Saccharomyces cerevisiae S288C: one gene and its partners. The protein of the gene in region 3 interacts with the protein of the main gene of each other region in a biochemical or structural test. Each region holds a gene or a part of one and is shown on either strand. Other genes may lie near its edges.

Region 1 (3,540 bases), on a different chromosome or scaffold from region 3:
TAATCCCGTGATGTTTATGCAAGATAGCGAATTCATGTAGATCGCGCCATGCTGTCTTTGCTTTTGTTGGGACCATATTGATACTATATCTATGATTAGGATCTTTTCGTCCCCCGTAGTACAATTCACCAACTTTTGCAGCGCTACCGAAGGTTTAAAATCACTTTCAATGATGTGCAAGAACCCTAGTTTACTCTCCTGCTCTTCACTAATTAGGTTTCTTAATTCATTTGGTAGGTTTATATAGTTCTTGGTTGATGTGATGAAGTTTGACAAAGGATAAATTCTAATGTTCTTTAAAACTTCCATCCCATTCCATTCGCTACTTCCTTTCTCTTTTCCTAAGAATTTTCATTATTAGAAGGAGTAATGCTTACGGTACACATACATACACATATATATATATAAATATATATATATATAAGGACATATACAGATTTTTTTTTTTCGCGTACTAAAGTACAGAACAAAGAAAATAAGAAAAGAAGGCGATCATTGAACTACTGTGACTTGCCAATATGGTCTAAAAATTTGTCAATTTCACCTGAAGAACCCAACCAAATAGAAGATTTGTCATGGATATGACTTGGCACCAAATCCAAGATTCTCTCTCCGCGATCGTTGACCGCTTTTCCCCCTGCTTGTTCCATTAAGAAAGCCATTGGGAAGGCCTCATAAAGCAACCTCAGTTTTCCGTTGGGGCTCTTCTTGTCGCAAGGGTATGCGAAAAGGCCACCGTAAAGAAACGTCCTGTGAACATCAGCAACCATGGATCCAACATACCTAGCCGAGAAAGGCTTGTTGTTGTTGTCTGCTTGGGGTTGTTTGACTTTCTCAATAAATGTTCTTATAGTCTCGTTCCAGTAGAGGGTGTTACCTTCATTAATTGAGTAGATGGCCTTTTGAGGCGGAATTCTTAAGTTAGGATGAGTCAAGATGAATTCGCCCAAGTTTGTGTCTAAGGTAAACCCATCAACTCCATCACCCAATGTCAATACTAGATGCGTAGAGGATCCGTACATGGCATAGCAAGCGGCTACCATTTCTTTACCACATCTCAGTACGTCGTTTATAGTACCTGATGAGTCTGGTAGCAGTCTGAATATAGACGCGATAGTTCCAACGGAGACACCGGCGTCCAAATTTGAGGAGCCATCAATAGGATCACAACACACTGCGTATGAGCCCGTGTTTGTGGGAAAAACGATCAAGTCTTCCTGTTCTTCAGATACAAGGACCTTGATGATCCCACTAGCCCTCATGGCATTGATAAATATTTCATCACCTAGAACGTCCAACTTCTTTTGCTGGTCACCAGTGAAGTTGGAAGCGCCTGCTAACCCAACCAAGTTAACCAATTCAGCACGTCTGATGGTGTGAGATACAAATTTGAACGCGAATTGCAAGGCATTCAGTACTAATGTGAAATCACCAGTAGCGTTCTTAAATTGCTTCTGGTGCTCGATTATGAATCTAGGAAGAGTGATGATATCGGTATCAAACCCTTCGGTAGAGTCTCTTCTTGGTCCATTTACTAGAGTTGGCATATGTGTGGTAGTATGAGGGATGTTTCTTATATGTTCGCACTGTTATTCTTAGGCCTATCATACAAAAAGCAAGATCAAGACAAAATACACGTCTGTAATTGCACTACTTGTTGCTCCATATATATACGTACATTTGTTAGCGAGTGAAATGGATAATATTGCCTATACATAGGACGATCCTTATAATATAGTGTGGGGAAGATGCCACAAGTTGGCAAGCGACAGGAAGAAACCAAGCAAACCAAAAAAAAAGTAGTGGGTATTGGCCAGTTCGGCAATCTTCGCCTTCAAATTCCCTGTCTCAACTTTTTAAGCTTTCTTGATATGTGGGAATACCAGGCTATTGCTGCCTTGCGTTGGCTCTTACGCCCTTAACATTACCTAGCTTTACTACATAATGAGCTTTCGGGCCCGCATAACTCCGGGTGTCCGCACGACCGCGACTACTAAGAATAATAATAATACCCCGGAGGTGAATTCAAAAGCGGCGATTCCATCCGTCCGGAAAAGAGAGCAGAAGTTAGCCCGGGACCATGCAGTTTGATGGGTTGTCTATCTTAGACTGGAAAATTCGAAGAACTCATCCTTGTTAGCTCAGTTGGTAGAGCGTTCGGCTTTTAAGCGCATTTGCTTAAGCAAGGATACCGAAATGTCAGGGGTTCGAGCCCCCTATGAGGAGTTCTTTACTTTTTTTTTATCAACTTCCTTTGCTTCACGCCTATTATAAATTTAGATCGCGTATGATATTGTTAATCGGCGGTTAGAATTTATAAAAATCGACGATTTTCTAGGAATTATTTGCGCATACATATATATAGTTATTTAGCTCTATACAGGTGTAAGAAGGCGTTGATAAAACTATGGTAACAAAATAAAAAAATAGAGGGAGGGGTGTGGCTAAATGCGATTTTTTTTTTCTTTGGATATTATTTTCATTTTATATTCACATCAAATCAGAAAATCCTGGAACGAGGTTCTTAGTAAACCCACCTTCCTTGGCGGCAGCTTCGTAGTAGCCGTAGATGGTGGTAGTAGCCATCAAAATGGATGCCCCAGAACCTAAAGTACCTAGTAGGTCGGAGCCAACAGAAAGAGCACCGATGGTAGCACCGCCGAAAGCAGCAGCAGTTGGAATGATCTTCTTCAATTCTCTGTAAATGGAGGTTTCTCTCTTACCGTTAATGACCATGCCTTGATCTTTGAATTGTTTGGCAATGTCACGTGGGGAAGTGCCGGAGATTTCGATCCATGTCTTGGAAAATACTGCGCATGAACCAAGAACAAATGTGATGTAGACGATGGTCTTGATAGGGTCCAGAAGAGCTTCGGATAAAGACATTAATGGTTGGATGTAGTAGGCCAACCCGCTCAAGGCCATTTGAGGGCCCTGGGTGCCCGGCCTGATACCCCAAACACCGATCAAACGAATCAATGGATTGGTTGGGTATTTCTGGAAAAGGATTTGAGAGATCAAGAAAATGTTAGAAGTCAATGCACTCTGCAACATGATTGGGGTGTTGGAAGTATAAAAGAGTTTGATGGGGTAGATACCAATTTGACCTCTCACTTTGGTTGACCTGATGGGCAATTCGTAACGGAAGCCTTGTAAATATAAAACAAAGAGGAAGATGGCCACGGTCATCAACACTTGGAACATATTAGGTAGATTGGTACGGTAAAAGGCCTCGACAAGGGCTCTTTTCTTGTCCTTTCTGACAGCCAAAAGATGGAAAAAGGCAATCACAGCACCTTCGAACTCCTTACCACGACCGGAATTGACTGTAGTAGGAGCAAACGCTCTCCAGAAAATTTGTTCGGCAATATTGGTTGCCGTGAACAGAGAAATACCGGAACCCAAGCCGTAACCCTTAGATAGCAATTCGTCTAATAACATCACAATCAGCGATGCAAACATCAATTGAAAGATTAACAACAAACAGATGGGCAATCCGAGGTCCGAAGGGGCACCGTAGTTACCTGTCATGACGACCAC
Region 2 (4,333 bases), on a different chromosome or scaffold from region 3:
GTTCTATTATGATTTAACAAAAAAAAACAGCACTGTAATAACCTACCCTTTGATATTGAACATTATTTTAAAGAACGGTAAAGTGATTCGATACAAGTTATATGGAACGGTGAATCATTCCGGTAACCTTATCAATGGACACTATACTTCTGTTGTGAACAAAGAAAAGAGCCATGAAATTGGACTGAATAGACAAGTTTGGGTTACATTTGATGACGATTATATACAGCAACATCGCAAGGATCGCAACAACTTTGAAGCCGGCAAAACAGAAATGTCTAGCGATGAGGTATACGTCTTATTCTACGAAAGAATGGATGAAGAGAACTATGAAGAAGAATTCTGTTAATTGCATCGGATTTTTGAATTTTCCTTATGTATATACATAAATATGTTTGAAAGATTAATTAGAAAAACATGTGCTTGTTGATCCAGTTTCAGTTATTAAAAAAAAGCTGAAATGGGAAGAGAAAAAATTGACAAAATAATATATTACGAACATTTATGATGTCGAAATAATTCTAATTCTTTTTTTTTTTTTTGGATTGAACATATCGAACGAACATGTTTCGTTTACTCGAATTGAGGACCAGCGGCTAATACATCTGGTGTGGCTCTGTCTTGATAAATCTTGAAATTTTGAACAAACAAGTTGGCCAAGTTGGTAACTGCACCTCTGTATTTGGATTCACCTTGAGACCAGTTTTTAGCAGGATTCAAAAGCTCAGCTGGAACACCGTTAACCTTGGTAGGTACTTGAAGATTGAAAATCGGTAAAGTTTCGTACGTTTCATTGGCTAACGAACCATCATGAATAGAATCCAGAATGGCCCTTGTGTACTTCAATGGGCAACGTTTACCACCAGATACGTAGGAAGAACCAGTCCAGCCGGTGTTGATTAAGTACGCATTAGCTTTATGTTGAGACATCTTTGTAGCTAACATGGTTGCGTATCTAATAGGGTGCAAGGCTAGGAAGGGTTGTCCGAAACAAGATGAAAATGTTGGTTCAGGTTCAGTGACACCTTGCTCAGTACCAGCCATTTTAGAAGTGTAACCAGAGATGAAATGGTACATGACTTGTTCAGGAGTCAATTTAGATACTGGTGGTAAAACACCCGAAGCATCACAAGTTAGCAGGATAATGTTCTTTGGATGAGAGTCCGCCAAACATGGAATCTTGGCACTTGGAATGTAGTCAATTGGGTAGGCACATCTAGTATTTTCAGTAATAGAAGAGTCGTCATAGTCGACTACATGCGACTTCTCGTCATAGATAACGTTTTCTAATACAGAACCAAACTTGATAGCGTCGAAAATTTCAGGCTCCTTTTCGGCAGATAAATTAATACACTTGGCGTAACAACCACCTTCGATATTGAAGACACCATGGTCGGACCAACAATGTTCATCATCGCCGATCAACAATCTATGTGGGTCTGCGGATAAAGTGGTTTTCCCGGTACCACTTAGGCCAAAGAATAAAGTAACGTCACCGTTTTGAATACCCTGGTTGGCGGAAGAGTGCAAAGTTAAAACGTTATGGTGCACAGGCATCAAGTAAAACATAACTGTGAAAATACCTTTTTTCATTTCACCGGCGTATTCGGTACCTAAAATGATCATTTCCATTGCTTTGAAGTTAATTTCTATAGTACTCTTTGAAGACATATCCTGGGTGTGTAAATTGGCTGGGAACTGACCAGCGTTCCAGACAGTAAAATCAGGTTCTCCAAAATGGGCTAATTCTTCTTCTGTAGGTCTAATAAGCATATTTGTCATGAATAAAGCGTGGTAAGCCCTGGCACAAACAACGCGGACTTTGATTCTGTATTTTGGATCCCATCCTGCAAATGCATCGACAATATAAATGTGGTCTCTTGTTCTCAAGTAATCTGCAGCTCTTTCACGGTTGATAGACCATGTTCTTTCAGAACATGGTTTATTGACCGGACCCCACCAAATTTCGTCTTTCGAGGTAGGTTCTTCAACAATACGTTTGTCCTTTGGAGATCTTCCGGTTTTAACACCGGAATAAGCGATCAATGCACCGCTTGATGAAATGACAGTTTTATTTTCTTTTAGACCATCTTCATACAAAACGGCAGCTGGAGCATTGCGTCTGATGGTGGTGACTTCGTCACTAAGAGCCAATTCTTGTCTGATTTTTTGTTCAACTTCGGAAGTAGATCCTACTGTAGCATTCATTTTAGAAGGGGACATGTTGTTATTTTATTATGGAATAATTAGTTGCGTGAGTTTGGTTTTTTTTTTTTATTTTTGAGTTAAACAAATATAATTATTGTTTAAGCTGAAATAAAGATATATATGTATATCTGGGAAAGGCTGTTGGTTATCTGTCTTACTTCTGTATATTTAAGAAGTAAGTAGAAATACTGATTACACATGGAAGAGAAGTTACACACATTACAAAGACTTCTCTGCCCTTATATACCTTTTTTTTGTGGTCTTCTATACTCTGCCCAATGTTGCTATCCCCAGCCAAGCCTTACTTAATACACAAACGTACCATTGTCCAACCAGAAGCGTCTAAGCTTTACAATCCTGTTTGGGCCCTTTATCCGCCTATCCATAATGTTAAGCAGCCTAAAACTTGCTAGTCTAGCCGGCATCTTTCCCTTGTATAACTTAAAATACCCGGAGCTTCAGTGATATGTAGAACACAGCCGCGCCGGATGAAAGGAAGCTCGGTTTTTTCCTATTGTGAGTCAAAAAAAGAAAAGAGATGTATCCAAATTAGGAAATCCAGATCTCCATTCACCCGTCAGCGTCCCGATATTCTCCGGTGGATCGTGTGGGATATTCCGATTTTTTCCGACAAGGCCCTGGGTGGGGGCTCTGCCCAAGTGCTCTGGTCAGAATTGTATGGAAGTCAGTTGGTTATATGCATATAAAAGTATATATTAAAATTAAAGTGTTATTTATGGCGGTGAGTAGAATTGGTGTTGTTGTAAATGTACGTACAACGAACGATCAGTCTGTACACAGATGGCGCTGTTCGCCAAGTTTTGTGCACAAAGAAAACACAAATCGTGTGCTTAGCGTTTTTATTTCTTTTTCTTCTGCTTTTTTCTTCATGGCGTCGTCGTCAGATATCAGAACTACGTAGTTAAAGCGGCGAGGGGAAAGACGCGGTTCGCTGGCACTCTCTAGTTTTTCTTGCGCCTTCATTACGGATTCGATGACAAACTCGTCGACATGTGTCCTCCATGTTATTTGTTCTTCAAATTCTAAGTTCTCTTCGATGTGTGTCGCTACATTACCTGTGAATCTTAGGGGTAATACTTTATTCTCATAGTAAAGCTGCCTTATAGTTATTATACCTCTTGTGGCAGCCTCCATGACGTTTTCGTCCTTTGACTTTCGTAAAAATCTCAGCTCTTGGAATGTGGTTAAACAAATGGCAAATCTTAGCAGTCTGTTTTGAGCTAGCTTGAATATGCGTGCGGAATGTCTTAGCCAAGAAGTTGCATCAAAGACAAAGTATGTAGTTTTAAAATCTATTTCTGGATAATCAGATTTTATACATTCCAGAAATAGACCTTCATTTTCCTTTTCGCTGTTATAATTGATGTTGTCCTCTATGTTAGTGTTGTTGCTGTTCGGGACATACCATGTAGTGTAAAGCGAGGCGCTTAAAAATTCTCCATTTTTATCGAAGCACGTATAATCGGCACGAAGTTTCTTGTAGCCAACATAGTGGAAGATATTATCGCCCTCGTTGACACTTAGTTCCGGCACAGCGTGCAGATCAGTGTTGTTTTCACTTCTTGCCTCAGATATGTCAATAATACTTTCCAGGGCACCTAATACTGGTATATTGTTGTGTATATTGCACAAGGGTTCGAGTTTGAAGACTAAACTTCCCAATATATTAGTATTTTGAAATGATGAACGATATATCAACGGATCGTTTCTGATTATTACGCCTATTGGAAAACTTCTTGACAGCTCTCTAAAAAGAAATATGGTTCTGCATGCCCTTTTCCAGAATTTTTCACCATTTTCGTCCTTTTCATCAAATATAATTCCATCTGTCGGCGAATCCAATGCCATATAATCTTTTATACCGATTTCTTGAAAATTATCTTCACTACTAATCGAATGCGTATTCTTTTCGCAAATTGTGTCAAACCACAATGTTCCCCAACAGCCCAAAATTTCTGGTAATTCTTCGCCTTCATTGAATAATTCTAAAAGTTCAGAAAGGCTTAATTTATCGTAGTCATCGCATAAATCTCCAATAATAGAGTTCGATGTTTGGTTATCCAATAAATACACAATCAAAACATTCATAAAGGTAACCATTGTA
Region 3 (4,710 bases):
TTTATGATTCCACAATTTCTTGCCACAAAGTTTCGGTGGACTTCTAGTCAAACTTTGATGTACATTATCATTTGGGCAAGTTTCATACCATTTTATGGTATTCTTGGATTTTTCTTCAATGCGTTCGGTTTAAAGCATAAGTTTGAAATGTTCTTATTGGCCATTTGGTATGGATTATCACTAGGTGGCCTGTCCGCGGTTTCAAGATCAGTTTTCAGTTTGATTGTACCTCCAGGAAAAGAATCCACGTTTTTTAGTATGTTCAGTATCACAGATAAGGGGTCGTCCATCCTGGGACCCTTCCTTGTTGGACTGCTTACCGATAAAACGCATAATATTCGCTATTCGTTTTATTTCTTCTTTTTGCTTTTGATGCTATCATTGCCTGTGCTAAACTGTTTGGATGTCAAGAGAGGTAGAAGAGAGGCTGAAGAACTCAGTCAAGTTTTACCTGAAAGTGAAAGAAGGTTGGATTAGTTCTTTTTTTTTTTTTGTTACATAAAACTTTGCTTACGTATATATATAAGGTGGAGTATTAATTTCTTGAAATTTTCCAGATTTTTATCTTACCGTCATCACCGCCAGAAGCAAACATTTCTTTATCTGCAGGGTTTGATGCAACTACGTTACAATTTTTCCCCATGGGTTTTGTGGAATTACTCATTACCGTGGAATGACCGGATAAAACAGATACTAGGTTACCTCTAATTCTATCCCAAATGTAAATTTTACCATCTTCTGATCCGCTCATGACAAGCTTATTACCGTAGGCGAAGCAAGATCTGATAATAAAGTGCTGTTGCTTCTGTCCAAAGTACTTTTGTATGAGAATATTTTCTTTATAGTCCCACATTTGTAATTCGTTATCTTGAAGGCTAACTAATACCAAATGTTGAGACTCGGATATTTGTTGCCTATGGAAGCCTTGATGCGTGGTATTTAGCGGTAATGAGATACAAGTCATGTTTTTGCCCACGTCCAATCTTGCGATCCTTGGAATCAGAAAGTTTTTGGGATCCACTGTTTGCTTAGATAGCTCCTCTTTGGAGGGGAACCCACTGAAATCGTAGACATCTATAACGCCCTGGTGGGTCATTAAAAGCACGTATTTATCGTCATAGCTGATTTTCACGTCGTGCACACGTGGAAAGGTTTCGTCGTCCTCCACATATTGCCAGTTACCATTGCTACTTGTTGGTTTGTAAAGGACTTTTGCAGGATCGATTGATTTTCTCCCAGAGATGTTTTCATCGTGGCCCAACGCGATACAAGTCCTGCCTTTTAAGCTAAAAAGTGACTCTTTCGTGGTGAGTGAGTGTACAATAGCTTCTCTGTCGGGCGATCCAACCACCATCCAGCCCGCACGTTCCGCAGTGTGGAAGGCATCGCAGCACCATACTCTTGATTGATTAGAATTCGCGTTTGCCGGCCTCGAGGAAGATGATGCTGATGATTCGGTATCATCTGGGTACGTGGTGGTGTCCAGTTTAAACGAGTCCATGGGCGAGAGCCTGGTAGAAGGGTATAGTAGGAACGAGTCTGTGGCAGACGCATCGGGCAGGGAGGTGGCATTCATGTCGTAAATGGTAACATCTTCGCTGAAAGGGCAAGCAACCAGATACCGGCTATCAGGAGAAAACATGAGGTACAATACGGATTGTGACAAGCTCACGCAAGTCTTATAAATTTTGAAGTCTTGTTCCACATCATAAACAGTAATGAAGTAGCCTCTTGAAGACTCGGAAGTCGCAGAAGCCAAATACTTGCCATTGGGCGAAAATGTCAAAAACCAAATTTCGTCTGTGGTGTCTTGGATAGTCTTCCATTCTTGAAAGGTCACAGTCAGATCGTGTGAGAAGTTATCCTGCAAAAGGTTGATCCGGTGGGGTGGAGAGGAGAAAGAGGCGTCATCATCCGGATCGATGATATTAAAAATGTCTTGTGATTGTTGATACTTGATGGCCTGTTTCAAGAGATGCAAGAGACGACCCTTGGGAACGAGTTCGTTCGGATCGATATATTTGGAGATGGCGTCAATCAGATGGTCTCGCTCGAGGTTCAACTGCGCGGTTAGTTTTGGGTTGGTCAGGTACGTCGACAGTTCTCTCAAGGTCGTTTCCGGATTGAAGATGTTTTCTTCATTTAGGAACTGATCGTTAGACACCAGCAGGGAATCCCATATCTCGATGAAGTTTTTGAGGATTTTGCGCAAATACAGGACGGGCAGTGCAGTGTGAGGGCCCTTGTGAGAGGCGGAATTTGTGACTGGATGGAAGAATTCGAGGAATATTTGTCTATTAACTAGAATCATGATCTCTACGTAATTTCTGAGCGTGGCGATCTCTGCGTCCGAACAAGTAGATGAATTTACAGAGCTCATCAGCTGTTGCAGGTATTGCAGTTGCAGGAGCATGTGGTCGAAAAGTGAAGTCGTGGCGGGCGTCGGCGTGGGAATGAGCAGCCTTTGAAGCCATTCGGACCTTAGCGGAGAGCTATGGGCAAGGGGCAGCGAGCAAACAATCTGCCAATTAATAAGATGGAATTGGCCGGTCTTGATGAGTTTGAAGAAAGTCTGGATGTGGTTAGACTCATTTTGATATCCGCCGCTCTCTAGCAGTAACTGGTTAGCGGCGGAGTCGTAGCCCAGCTCCTTTAGAGTATGTATCAGTAATTTAGTGAGCTGTTTCTTGTCAAAACAACCAACGGAAGAGGGCGAGGCTGTTTCCTCCGTGTCATTGTTCAACACGTATGCGATCTTATTAGTGTGTGACATTTTATTAGTTGAAGTAGTACGCCCCCTTGGAAGTGTTTTTCATATTTGACTTCCAAAAATGATAAAGGAAGACCTAGCAAGGCATTTATTGTTCTTCATTTTCCCTTAAAAACCAAAGGCCCGTTTCCGATGATATTGTTCATTAATGTGAGAAAATCATACATACATACATACGTTCTTATACGGTATTGTATAAGAATGTATGTATATACACTGAAAATATACATATATATATATATATATAAAGGAGAGAAGATGGTAAGTACGGTGGGATACGTACACAAACCAAAAAAATGTAAAAAGATCATGCTACAAGCGCACACAAGGCGGCACCCACTCCGGAACCATCCTTGGCAATCTTCAAGTGCACCTTCCTCTCACCCTCGGCACCCAAGGGTGACAAGGCTAAGGCGTGTCTCAGCATAGATCTGAAACCGGGGTAGTATTCCACAACGGAACCATCACAACCGATCTCGACTTCACCATGATATCTCTTGTTCAAAGCATTTGTCTTGATCAATATCGCGGCAAGCGGCACGGCGGCTAAATACGCAGATCTCCTAGAAATCGCGCGCACCAATTTTTGAATTTGAACACGCTCTGTTGGAGTGGTGGGCAGTCTGAGACTCTGTAATAATGACAACTCTGTTTCACGTAGACCTGTCGAGTCGTCAATTTCAATATGCGACAGCACTTCGGATGACAACTGGAAAGGTGTAGTCAAGTGGCGAGGAAGTTGTTCCTTGGACCTGTACTGTTGCAAAAGCAAGCCTTGCGAGTGCAAGTCCACTAAAATGTTACGCAACACCTCACCCAAGAACATCCCTGAGACACGTTTTTCAAACAAGTGAAATCCCGGGTTCGTTGACAGTTTCTGGTCAATTACGACGTCATACTTAGTAGTAGGCAAGTGCTTGAGCTCATTATCGAAGGACCCCCATTCGACATTGATGATCATGTGTGTCTTACCCTCCTTTATCAACTTGTCACGCAACTCCTGTGGCAACTTCGTGATCTTGTTGATCTCCTCCATATAGCACCCATTGGTACCGGTACCGAAAATACATCCGATGACCGGCTCCGAGATTTCTCCGGACGTCATTGAGTCCGTGTTATCGGACGTGTAGCAATGCGATAGGTACGTTCCGACGGTGTCGTTGGTTAATGCAACAACCTTGATCATAGGCATACCCTGAGCGCTTAATTGCTCCTGGTACAATTGCACGACATCCTTTCCGACGGTGTCCGCGATGCGGAAACCCTTGGTCCAACGGATCAATGTCCCGGAGTTTAGAGAGGTCTGGTCTACAGGGTATGAGAAAGTGAACCCCAGTTTCATGGGCTTGGCGTCTTTACCCTTGGCCAACTCGTCCGGGTGATACTTCTTCATAAAGGCCAGTGTACGACGTGCTAGAAACCCAAACAGGTCGTCAGATGTGACGTTCTCATCGTCTAGCAAATCATCGGGAATCTTGGACTTCATTTGCTCCATGGAGAAAGTATGATCTCCATGCAAGTTAACAGAACATATACGGAAATTGGTACCACCCAGGTCGGCGGCTAGTAAAACACCGCGCTCCGTCCCGTTGGGTGACCCGGTGACGAACGCCGGAATCATAGGAAGACCTTTGTCCGAGGCCAATGTGTGGCCTTCCTTTGGTGGAGCTAGACCTTTTTCCATTTGTTCGATGAAGTAAGCAGTTAATTCGTCCAGCTTCTCGGGGGTAACCTCGAAATCGTCGCAGATCTGGTCCACGGCCTGGATGACCGCTCTCTCAGTGGCTTTGTGTAAGTCGTCGAATGACATCTTGTGTATGATAGAGTTGTATTAGTGGTGGTGTTGTGGTTTACGGAAGCTGAGTTGGGCACTGATGGGGGGGTTGGGGGTTCTGTTGATAGCGGATATTTATATGGGCGCGTTTTCATTAGTGCCCACC

What was found.
Region 1: of the proteins of GID7 (region 3) and FBP1, one has a biochemical effect on the other in vitro, tested with the Saccharomyces cerevisiae proteins (one study listed by BioGRID).
Region 2: of the proteins of GID7 (region 3) and PCK1, one has a biochemical effect on the other in vitro, tested with the Saccharomyces cerevisiae proteins (one study listed by BioGRID).

Annotation. Positions count from the first base shown.
Region 1 is NC_001144.5:873,246-876,785, forward strand, and holds FBP1 (fructose 1,6-bisphosphate 1-phosphatase), read right to left. Parts: upstream 1,548-3,540; coding exon 501-1,547; downstream 1-500. Other genes in the region: PSY3 (Psy3p), read right to left, coding at 1-309; translocon subunit SEC61, read right to left, coding at 2,491-3,540.
Region 2 is NC_001143.9:629,042-633,374, reverse strand, and holds PCK1 (phosphoenolpyruvate carboxykinase PCK1), read right to left. Parts: upstream 2,224-4,333; coding exon 574-2,223; downstream 1-573. Other genes in the region: ubiquitin-specific protease UBP11, read left to right, coding at 1-349; ESL2 (Esl2p), read right to left, coding at 2,995-4,333.
Region 3 is NC_001135.5:50,708-55,417, reverse strand, and holds GID7 (glucose-induced degradation complex subunit GID7), read right to left. Parts: upstream 2,774-4,710; coding exon 536-2,773; downstream 1-535. Other genes in the region: ATG22 (Atg22p), read left to right, coding at 1-477; GLK1 (glucokinase), read right to left, coding at 3,078-4,580; YCL042W (uncharacterized protein), read right to left, coding at 4,475-4,710.